Xenopus tropicalis: one gene and its partners. The protein of the gene in region 1 purifies or fractionates together with the protein of each later gene. This does not show direct contact. Links are inferred from orthologs where the notes say so. Each region holds a gene or a part of one and is shown in the gene's direction. Other genes may lie near its edges.

Region 1 (3,756 bases):
ACTAAAAAATCAATAAACCATTAATTAAACCCAATAGGATTGTTTTACATCCAATAAGGATTATTTATATCTTAGTTGGGATCAATTACAAGGCACTGTTTTATTATTACAGAGAAAAGGGAAATTAGTATTAAAATTCTGAATTATTTGATTAAAATGGAGTCTACGGGAGACTTTCTGGATAATGGGTTTCCGGATAAGGGATCCTATACCTGTACAGATATAACATTAGATCAACAACAAACGCCCCAGCCTTTATATACTGAGAATACCGGGACTCGCAGTCCAACTGTGAAGACGGGCCTGAGGAAAGCGCTGTACTCCGCAGTTAAACTACATTTCCCAGCATTCCCAGTCGCGCAAGCATTTTCGAGCAGCGCTCAAGAAACAGGCCATGGGGAAAAACGACAGTCGCCAGAAGAACGCCGGAACTGAACGTATAAAACCAATATGGGCTGGTCAGAAATAAACGTATGTACACTAGAGGATATAAAGATAAAGCGAATGAGGAGTTTAACTACAAGCACGTAAATAAAAAGCATTAATTTCCTTCATCTGAACCCGCATCCACCATGCCCTCGGCTGCTCTGCTGACGACTGAGGAAAAAACACAGCGACGACGCCCGTTATACACAAGGCAAAGCGCGCCGCACAAAACCCGCGTACGTACGCGCGTCCCGCATTTCCCCGCCCACTTCCATGAACGCGCATGACACCTCCCGTTGCCGCGCTCTTTCCTTTTTAACCCAACTCCTCCCGCGGAGACTCGCTTTCCCCATGATCTCAGCCACCGATAGGGTTAATGAATGCGCGTAACACAATCCCTTCATGAATATACATGAGCCGAAGCACATGCTGTCCAATAAGGCACGCCTGTCCCGCGTCACATGGGACTCTGACGTAACGGCATTAGGAGCCGTCGAACCCCTCCTCCTCGCTTTAAAAGCTCCGAGTGCGAAAGGAAGCGTTCAGTAGAGGGAGACAGAGCTTGTGGCAGGGGGAAGTAGTGCTGAACTCATTCAAACTTCTGTCACATCCACGGGGGGCATAAACAATCCAACTTAGCCAAGCCAGCTTCCCTTCCAGCCAGAAACATGATATAATACAGAAGAATTTCTCAGAAGGGTCCCAAACTGCAAAAAACCCATCCCCATCAATAATAGCCCCTTAAAGAACCTTCCCCTTTTGGAACTGAAGGCCACGACCCGTCATACAAAGAGGATATGGGGCTGTGGGCAGCCAGCTAGCAGACTCAGGGACACTCCGCTGCTGTTTCCCCCACACCCTGCTTAGCCCCCTTGTGTTTCCCGTGCTGGGCGAATGGAACTGCCCATGTAGCAGCTCCTCGCCTGTACCAGCAGCGGCAGCACTATGCCCATTTTACTTTTTCTGCTAGATACGTCCGCTTCAATGAACCAGCGCACCCACCTGGGCACTACCTACCTGGACATAGCTAAAGGCGCAGTAGAGACTTTCATGAAGGTATAGTAGTACCCCCCTCCCAGTGAGCAGCTGCAGCAGCCAGGGTGCCAGCACCACTACCCCCCTGTTCCATTAGGGTTACCCCCAACTCAGGGGGCGCTTGTAAGCTGCCTACTTAACGCTCTCCCCCCTTCCTCTGATCTTCTATCTGCCTCTGTCCTTCCCTCCTACTGACCCCATCTGCTCCTCTCTGTCTTGTTTCTCAGCTCAGATCCCGAGATCCTGCTAGCAGAGGAGACAGGTACATGCTGGTCACCCTGGAAGAGCCTCCTTATGGGATCAAGGTAATCATAAATATAATCAGCATCATGTAGCAGGCACCACTGCTCCCCCTCCCTCTGTGTGCCATGTCTGTGTCAGCCTTGCTGGCATGTATCCCTTTAACAGCCACCACACGCACTCACACACACACACATATCCAGTAGCTGACAGAAACATGGCCGACATCCCCCACTCCTCCCCCTCGTAACCCAGCGCAGCCGCAAGGAACTGTGGGAGATCGAGACTCAAGTTAAAAGTGACATCCCCAAGGGGAACTTCGCAGATCACGATAGGGGCCCTGGAGTGTCAGGGCTGCTGTTTGTGAGAGACTATTGTGGGCCCTAGTGACTCTCCTGATAAAAACAATGTATTTTCATTAGTGTCTCACTTATATCTGCCTATTGCAAAGTGGGGAAGGTCTCAGCACAATAACAGCTAATAAGTTTTGCATGTGTGTAAAATATTATCATTAAGTCCCTGCTTAATCTTCATCTGTTTTTCATTTTTTTCTTATTATCAAAGCAATATACAATTACACATAGGAATATAAAATTATATTTGTTGTATGCATTTTTAGAATGATACATAATTTTAACACGTGTGCATATGTATATATTTTATATTTATACAATATAAACACACACATACTAACAAGGGATGTCCAACCTTCAATCCTTAACCTCCCAGCACCCAGTGTCTGAAAAGCTGATGGGAATGATCATTTTAGAACAGTTAAATGTCCACCAGACTTGGGGGCTGCAGGGAGTTACCATATGAGAACAGTTAAATGTCCACCAGACTTGGGGGCTGCAGGGAGTTACCATATGAAAACAGTTAAGTGTCCACCAAACAAATTCCCAGTCATTAGTTCTCACTGTCACGTGAGAGCCAAATTATTGTCAAGGAACCCCATTTGTAGTTCAGCAGCTGGCGGGCTGTAGGTTGCACACCTGGAGTATTTGTAATGCAGTTAAATGCACACTGAGTATATTTCTTTATTAAAAACACTAAGATAATATTAAAGGCATTTTGGCGGCAACTGTTTATTATTTTTGTATGGATTGTAAGTTTTTGAGGGTAGACTTTTGTGTTATACTTTCTTTCTGCTCTTAGCATTAATGTTCGTGCTCGACAGTCATGTTTGCTGCTATCCTATTATACGGCACTTCATTCATTTGCTGTCACTTTATTATTATTAGTATTGATGAGCATAGTCCTATTGTTTGATTTATTATGCTGTTCTGGTTTTTGCAGTCACAATACCTGCATCTGTTCTTTTACTGTGTGTTACCGTTTCTGGCATTTTCTTATTTTTATGTGAACAACACATTTTATTTTAGTTGCATTTTGCCAGAGGCATGAACTAGCTTGTGTGATTATCCACTCTTAGTTCTGTACCAGTACGTTCTTAAATAACCAGCCTTTGTCCACTTGCATGACCTAGCATAAATCAGCATTTCTCAGACTGTTAATTGAACCCCTTCCCCATGGGATTTTTTACATTGATATGGGTGCCAAATATATTTTGTTTTTTTATCTAGAAATGAGAATGTTTTTATATGTTGCTTATACTACCATTACAATATAAGTAAGTAAGTAGAGTTTTATTGTCATCCCAACAATATACTTACAAGTACACAGTGGAATGAAATATTGTCCTCCTGAATCAAAAAGGGTGCAATATATAACTATAATAATAGAAAATAAAATAAAAAAATTAAAAATTTAATTTAAAAAAATAAATAAATAAATATATATTTAATATATATTTTTTTAAAGGGATTTTTCACCCAACCCTGGATGCATGCACATCCATTAAAGAGCACTGGGGATAGGACCTACAGAAGTTTTCTGCACATCCTGTCCCCAGTGCTCCCTATGTGAGCAAAGTTTTTAAGGGGCATATTTATCAAAGTGTGAAATTAGAGTTCACCACAGCAAACATTTAACTGCTATTAAGTTCAGTTTTTGTCTTTATTTATAAGCTGAAAATGTTATGTTTAAGAATCTGAC
Region 2 (3,686 bases), on another chromosome or scaffold:
AGCGATTCAAGCCACTTGGGGGTGCCTAACATTTTAGCACCCCCAAGTGACTTAGCCTTTCCTTCCCCTTTAAAGAGCTGTGTTCTGGCCATTATATCAGACATCTGCCCACTCCAGTATGTATAGATTACATTTTGCCTAACTATATTGCAAACATTTTTTATTTTGGGCAGTCTCTTTTACCCAGTTCCACTTTTACACAGAACCGCTGCTCACTATGCGAATGTGTCCCCCAACACTAAACTATTCAACTCCTAAAATTATCAGAGGCAGATATTTTGCACCCCTGGTACCATGAAAAACACCTTTACAAAACGCATTATAATATTAGACAGCTTTATATTATAAGGAAATCGAGCTATATTTATGCATCTATGTCAAGTTGCATGTACACGTACCGCAACTATACGTTTCCAGTTTTATAGCAATGGGGTGTCAAACACGAACACATCTGCCTTTCCGCTGTCACTTTCACTATACTCTACTCCACCCGTTTCTACCCACAACAACCCAAATAAAGATCATTGAGAAAAAAAAAAAACGAAAAAAAACTTTTTCTGCAGGTGGGGGCTTCCTTGCGCATGCGCGCATCCCTCCGCCTCTCAGTCTGACGTTGCGTGTCTCCGTGCACGCTTCTGTAGTTTACGGGCGCGGGCACGCTCTGTCGCTGTGCAGGTTATGCCTTGTGTCGCGCATGTACATTTCAGTCTGCCATTCGTTGTCTCTGTGCGTTTTATCAGCTCCACCCCCTCTCGGCGCGCTCCCGCAAGTACGGGGGTGAAATTGAATGAGGAGGAGGAAAGCTACAACGACATAGTCGCGTTTCGGCCTCCTCCTTTTGACAGGCAATACCTTAACATAAGCCTTATTAATACGTGAATATTTCCGTCCGGTCATCACCGGCCGTAGCCTCGCACGAAGTTGGGGGGTGGGAGGCGTAGGCCGTGCTAGTGAATGTGTGACAGGAGAGGGGGCAGAGAGGAGGGGTAGCAGACCGATCGGCACAGTGCGGAATTTCGTGTATGTTTGTAGCGTGTGTTACCGTGGAATAGTGTGGTTGTCTGGAAGTTTCTGGCATGGAGGACAAGACGTTTACTAAAGAACTGGACCAGTGGATCGAGCAGCTCAATGACTGCAAGCAACTCAACGAGAGCCAAGTGCGCACCCTGTGCGAGAAGGTGAGACCGGCCCTGTGCAGCAACGTCTGTAAACACTCAGCCCCACATACATAGGTGTATAGCACTCCCAGCATGATACCGTCATGATCTCGTAGGGGGAATACATGCTACGCACAGAAACATACACACGCCTGTAAGGGGCCTCGCTTGTTCATACAGGCACGTCCACACAGCAAATAAACATACATCAGGGGATTTACTGTGTAGGATTCTGATCTTGAAAATTGTATTTAGTTCCCTTTTGATTGGCAGCTGTTGGTTCCAGTTTCTAAGACCCCCTGCTTATTTGAATGTATTAGTGTATGTATTTATATCTTTATTTAGCAAGCACTACTTATGTGCGCAGCGCTGTACAGTAGAATACATTAATACAAACAGGGGGTTATTAAGATAATAATAGATAAGTTTAAAGTATAACAATAAATACAAGATACAATTGCAATAAGTTAAGGGTCAAAGAGACAAAAGGATGGAGGTCTCTGCCCCGTAGAGCTTACAATAGTGGCATTAGTATTCATTTATTTTCAGAATACAATTTGACATGTGGAATTATCTTAAAATGTTCCTTTAACATATATGTGTATTGTAGCTAATTACTATTCAGAGTGAGATTTTATAATTTGATGGGTGCCTTGAACACAGCCAGTGTTCCTTTCTCAGGGATTTATTTTCTAAATTAAACGGGCAACAATGTACCCCTATCATCTTTGCTAATAATCATAGGGTTGGCAGAGTGCATTGATGTGACTTTATGATGTAATAACAGGCACAAAGTTTGCTAAAGCATCTTTAAATCCATAACATTTAATCAACTGTTTGCTCTCAAACAGCAGATTACAAAATACAAACAGATGGATTGCAAAAACTGGAGGAAACTTTTCACCTGTAATGCAAGTGTTTCCTTGTAGGGAAAATCACTACAGTTAAGTGATTCTTGCAGCTAAATGCTGTTTAAGGACTACAGCACACAGAGCTACTTGTAGCGGCTACAAAGCCCCAGAAAATACTTTGCCATAGACAGTACTGAGAACCATCTTTGCTAAAACACACGTAGAGACAATTATCAGTACTATTTTGTAGCTGGTGCAATTAGCTCCATGTGTCATTGCACTAAAGGTACAAATATAAAGTTAATTTTTGATGAGTACCTTTCTTTAATCCTTTGAGAGCTTGATACTTATGATGTAGCCAGACTGTTTTCAGTAAACACGTGTCACCTCTCTTAATACTGTTGAATACTTGTGGTGACAGGTGGACCTATGCGCAAAGCTTTTGCTTGAGTGTATTGGGCCAGTGTGTCTCTGTTACCTCTTCATGTCCATCTGATATGGCACTTTATGTTCAGTAGTAACATTATGGGTGATAGGACTATGGCCTTTTCTTTACGCGTTGTGTGCCATTAATCTAAGCATATTTTCATTTACCTATCTTTTTTTTTTTAAATAGCTTTTGATTTATCAGAATCCTTATTTTATTCCCCCAGCCTTCAACTGAAAATACTGTTTGGTTGTCAGGGTTTCCTGATCCTGACAACCATTAAACTGATTGACTGACTGTAAGTCCTCAGATGTGTTGCTGTTTTTATTTTCATTGCACATCATTCTAATGGGACACTTTACTGTTCATCTTCATTTTGAGTTTCTCTTTTGTGTCTGGTTGTTAGGCCAATTAAGTCCTACCATCCTCATATCAGTTGAAATTCCAAGCTGCCAAGAAAAAAAAAAGAAGGCTGATTAATAATTGTTATAGAATGCTACCATCTATACCATATGTGGAACTAATTTTAGGATGAACTACTCCTTTAAGTTTGGGTTCTTTAATGGTGCTGTGCTACAGTTAACAGCATCGTTCAACATAAAATCAAGCATCCAGACATAATGGGAAATGAAATGTGTGTCCATCTAAGGAAATAGGACTATAGTACTTCACAACATACAATAATAACTATATCTAACTGTATATATAACTAGGCTAAATGTAAAATAAACCAAACAGTAAAACTTTGAAGGGTAAGGTCAGCTAAAAGAAGCCATACATCCTCCACTGTAAATTAAATTTACAGTGGCCTTTCACTTTAGTAATAAATAGCGCATGACTTTTGAGCACCTTTTAATCCATTTCACCCTAACTTTTCTGTTTGTTAACTCTCAATTTCCTTTGCTGAAGAAGGTAATATTTTATTTATTTTACTCCCCCTTTTAAAGAAGAAAATAAATAAAGCCCTAACTCATTACAGCTAGAAATACTTTATTTTATAAACCAATCATACAGTAGAAGCCCTACAATAGTAATGACCCATTCTTTCAAAGTTGTCCACAGCAGCTCATAAATTTTGATCACTAGACCACTTTGTGCTTGCCAGTGACTCGCCACAGGCTAATTTTTCATGTCATTAAAATTATTGAACAGAAAGTGATATTACATTTATTATAGAAGCTGAAGCTACTGGGATGATCATTTGCGATCCAAAATGCACTGGTTAGTGTGAGGTGATGTAATGTGATTTTG
Region 3 (3,756 bases), on another chromosome or scaffold:
TCGGAAAATGTTTTTTTCAAAATGCATCAGTTAATAGAGCTTCCCCAGCAGAATCCTGCATTGAAATCTGTTTTTCGAAAAGACAAACTTTTTTTATATTTAATTTAAAAAATTTCACATGGGGCTAGCCATGATCTTCATTTCCCAGGGTGCCACAGCCATGTGACCTGTGCTCTGATAAACTTCATTTACACTTTACTGCTGAGCTACAAGTTGGAGTGATATCACCCCCCTCCCAGCAGAACAAAGGGAAGGTAGCAAGATAGCAGCTCCCATTAGATATCAGAATAGCACTCAATAGTAAAAAATCCAAGTCCGGTTTTGGACTCCTCCAGTTACATGGGAGTAGGAGAAACAACAGATTGCCGAAAACAGTTCTAATGTGTAGTGCTGGCTTTTTCTGAAGACTCAGACACAATGCACTGAGACTGCTGCCTACACACCAATATTACAACTAATATCCTGCTGGGCCCCGCTAGACCCTGCTGGCAGCCCACCTCTCTCCTTTATGGCCCCAACCCACCCAGCACTTTGCTGGGCCCTGGCAAATTCATGCTTCAGTGATAAGCCCTAGCCACCTGCTCACCTATCCTTCACCTTGTTGGGCCCCACCAGGCCTGGCGACTATGTCCCGAAACAAAACCATTTTCGTGTTGAATGGGAGTTTAAGTTAAAAATGGTCATGTGTTCCGCCATCTTTAATTTTTTATGCAGGCAAAACTTTCAGAGGTGGCGCAGGTAAGAGAATGAGGATCTAAGGAGCAATAGAAGAACAGATATAATTGTCTTTGACAGAACAGGGCAAGCAGCATGAAGGCATAAAGAAGAAAGGTTTATGACATGCCTGAGATAAATGTGCTGATACCTACTTGCTGCATTCATTTTACTGGCATGTGTAAAGTTAATACTTACATTATCAATTTCTGCAGGTCTAGAGTAAATGTGATCATAAATTATTTAACGCAGTGATCTTAAGTGTATGTCTGGGTAACTATAACTAAAGTGTGTGGCAAACGGCATAAAAATGTTGGCACCATGCTCAGTGCATTTTTAGACCCCAAAGTTTCAGATTTACCGCTAAAGCCCCATATTTTGTTGCAATATACTTGAGACATGATCTACAATGTTAGGTGATGGGTACCAGGTGCCCCAGTCCGACACCGCCTTTAACTAGTCATCCTGATCGTTAATGATCCATATAGAACTCAAACTCTATTGTTTGTAGCCACGAAAGGCAACCCCTTTCTGTACGCGCTTGATCTCTGTGGTCTCCGGTTCTCAACTTCCGGTTTCCGGTTTCTAAGTTGCTGTGTTGAGAGGATGCCGTACGCGAACCAGCCTACAGTGCGGATAACGGAGCTCACTGACGAGAATGTCAAGTTTATCGTGGAAAATACTGACTTGGCGTAAGAGACCTTTGACTGTTATGGCAGAATAATGGGTTTAATTGCTTTTTTCAGAACGATGTGTGGTGTGCATGTTGCATACTCGCTGCCCCAGACTGCCTGTCTCTCGAATCCCAATTCCTGAGACCCCCACATTTATAATGAGTGGTAAAGTGCGAGGGAATGGTTAGGTGGAAATAGAGTTTAGATTTTTATTTTTCCAACTTCGGCTAGGTATGATGTGGTACTTATTCACCATTGTGTCATGTATCTACTTTGTGTTATTCTGTTGTTTCTAATTATCCTAAAAGTGTAAATAATAGTGTGACTATATCACCATATGATGACGTATGTCATGCTGGGTACCACTGGTTTCCTGGACGCATCTCTTCTCTAAAGGGCAACTAAAGACATGATAGAGGTGTGACAAGTTGGCTGTTAGGCGTATGTAACCCACATATTGTACATCGCTGCAGAATATGTTGGCGCTTTATAAATAAATGTTAATGTAATGTAATCACTCCTTCTTTGGGTTCCACTATTTTCTGGTGCTTCTGTATGAAACTGTTTCATTTCCCTCAGGGTCACCTGTTTGCATGGATGCCCATTCTTCTTTTTAACCTTTTTTGATTGAGAATATTTATTTTTGGTAGTTCTTTTAACCCTTTTGGTTTCCCATGTGTTCAGGAGCAACTTCTAGTTCACCTTTTGTGTCTGTTAGTAGATTATATAGTGCCTGGCACCTAAAGGGTTCATTTAAAAAAAAAAAAACTGCATGTTTTCATACCAATATCGCTAACATACTTTGTAAAGGAGACATATTGGATAAATGGGAAAAACGCTAATTTTGTAGGCAATTATGAATAATATACGGTTCTGGTTTCTGTTTGTGCTAAAAATTAATCTTCTCTGTAAAAATGGCCCCTTTATTGGAGCTCCCTAGTGTGAAATGAAGAATGGGCGTGTCCTAACAGTACCTGCCAGAAGCACAGTAGGAGGGGGAGAGCCAATCACAGCCCTGCACTCAGACAAGCAAAGACAGGCTTCAGTTCCCTATCAGGTCAGCCTAGCTGCTGATTGGTTCCTATCCTACAGTGCAGTGTACGGAGGGCCGCCGGCTCCCCAGCTCATCCAGAGAATTCAGCCAGCAGGAAGTGGAACAGATGGGCGGGGCTAGTGGGGTTTTTGTGGAATTTCTCAATAAATCAGTCTGAAACACAACATTATTAAGCACAATCGTTCTATATCTAGAGGAGTATAATTCACTATAATTCATTCATAATTTTTATAGGATATGTCTCCTTTAAGAGGCCTCAAAGGCATAAAACTAAATTTAGAATTAGAAGAAATGGAACACTGCTTCCCATGTAAGGTAGTAATCATGCTGCACTTGATTTTTTATAGAACCATTTTTAGGAAATGTGTATTTGAGTGCTAAAAATATGCAGGTATTATTGCTATAAAATAATGAGTAAAAGGAAAAATTGTTACACTTGTTCCTCTGTATAAGCAGCCATTAATTATCTAATACTAATAAACCTTTTTCTATTTCAGAATTGCTAACTCGATCCGTAGGGTGTTCATAGCAGAAGTTCCTACTATAGGTATGTGCTCTTGTCCTGCATAAGAAAGGTTAAAGGGCCCTTGTTCAGCATGATTGCAATAAAGCTTACCTGAACAGGAAACACTCAGTGCAGTGTTTGTGAGCATTAATGTTTTATTACATTAGATCTCAAAACCCCTTGTAATGCATTCTGGTGCCCCTTACATTAAAATAACACATTTTTGTTGTTTATGTTTTATTTTACAGCTATAGATTGGGTGCAGATAGATGCAAATTCCTCTGTTCTTCACGATGAGTTCATAGCTCACAGAGTTGGTAAGTACTTAAAGATAAATTTACATTGAGTAGCAGGGCAATATTTCTAGTTAAGGCTACTTGCACTACTAGCAATACGTTGTCTAGCTTGTTTTGCCATTAGGGAGAAACTCCAGTTGCTATTGTACAGCGCTGCGGAATATGTTGGCGATAAGTGATACTGACAAGAAAAAACTACTTTTTAAATTATGAATCTACATAAAAAGTTACCAATAGGTCATGTTGATCAGTTTTTGTTGATAGGTTTGCTTTTATTAGCAATTGCTACTTAAACCTGACTGTTTTCCCAACCTGACTGTCCCTTCTCAGCCTGTCAGTTATAGCTTCTAATGCTAACGGACTCCTGCTGCACAAATATGGCCGCTCCCTCATAGAGGGACATGGGAGATCAGATAGGTAATGTAAAAGCATCTTGCAAATACTTTTATGGCAAAATTATAAAGCTCATGAAAAGACAGTGTTATGATAGATATAAAAAAGGTTTTTTTTTCT

What was found.
Region 2: the proteins of ints6 (region 1) and ppp2cb purify together in Homo sapiens (affinity purification with mass spectrometry; 3 studies listed by BioGRID and IntAct, with this or other methods). This does not show direct contact. The link is inferred for Xenopus tropicalis from reciprocal best matches to the Homo sapiens genes INTS6 and PPP2CB.
Region 3: the proteins of ints6 (region 1) and polr2c purify together in Homo sapiens (affinity purification with mass spectrometry; 3 studies listed by BioGRID and IntAct, with this or other methods). This does not show direct contact. The link is inferred for Xenopus tropicalis from reciprocal best matches to the Homo sapiens genes INTS6 and POLR2C.

Annotation. Positions count from the first base shown.
Region 1 is NC_030678.2:149,909,898-149,913,653, reverse strand, and holds the start of ints6 (integrator complex subunit 6), read left to right. Parts: upstream 1-959; 5' UTR 960-1,371; coding exon 1,372-1,482; intron 1,483-1,688; coding exon 1,689-1,766; intron 1,767-3,756. UniProt on the Homo sapiens protein: Component of the integrator complex, a multiprotein complex that terminates RNA polymerase II (Pol II) transcription in the promoter-proximal region of genes.
Region 2 is NC_030677.2:97,482,257-97,485,942, reverse strand, and holds the start of ppp2cb (serine/threonine-protein phosphatase 2A catalytic subunit beta isoform), read left to right. Parts: upstream 1-869; 5' UTR 870-1,076; coding exon 1,077-1,178; intron 1,179-3,686.
Region 3 is NC_030680.2:76,285,203-76,288,958, reverse strand, and holds the start of polr2c (DNA-directed RNA polymerase II subunit RPB3), read left to right. Parts: upstream 1-1,295; 5' UTR 1,296-1,320; coding exon 1,321-1,406; intron 1,407-2,939; coding exon 2,940-2,989; intron 2,990-3,195; coding exon 3,196-3,264; intron 3,265-3,756. UniProt on the Homo sapiens protein: Core component of RNA polymerase II (Pol II), a DNA-dependent RNA polymerase which synthesizes mRNA precursors and many functional non-coding RNAs using the four ribonucleoside triphosphates as substrates.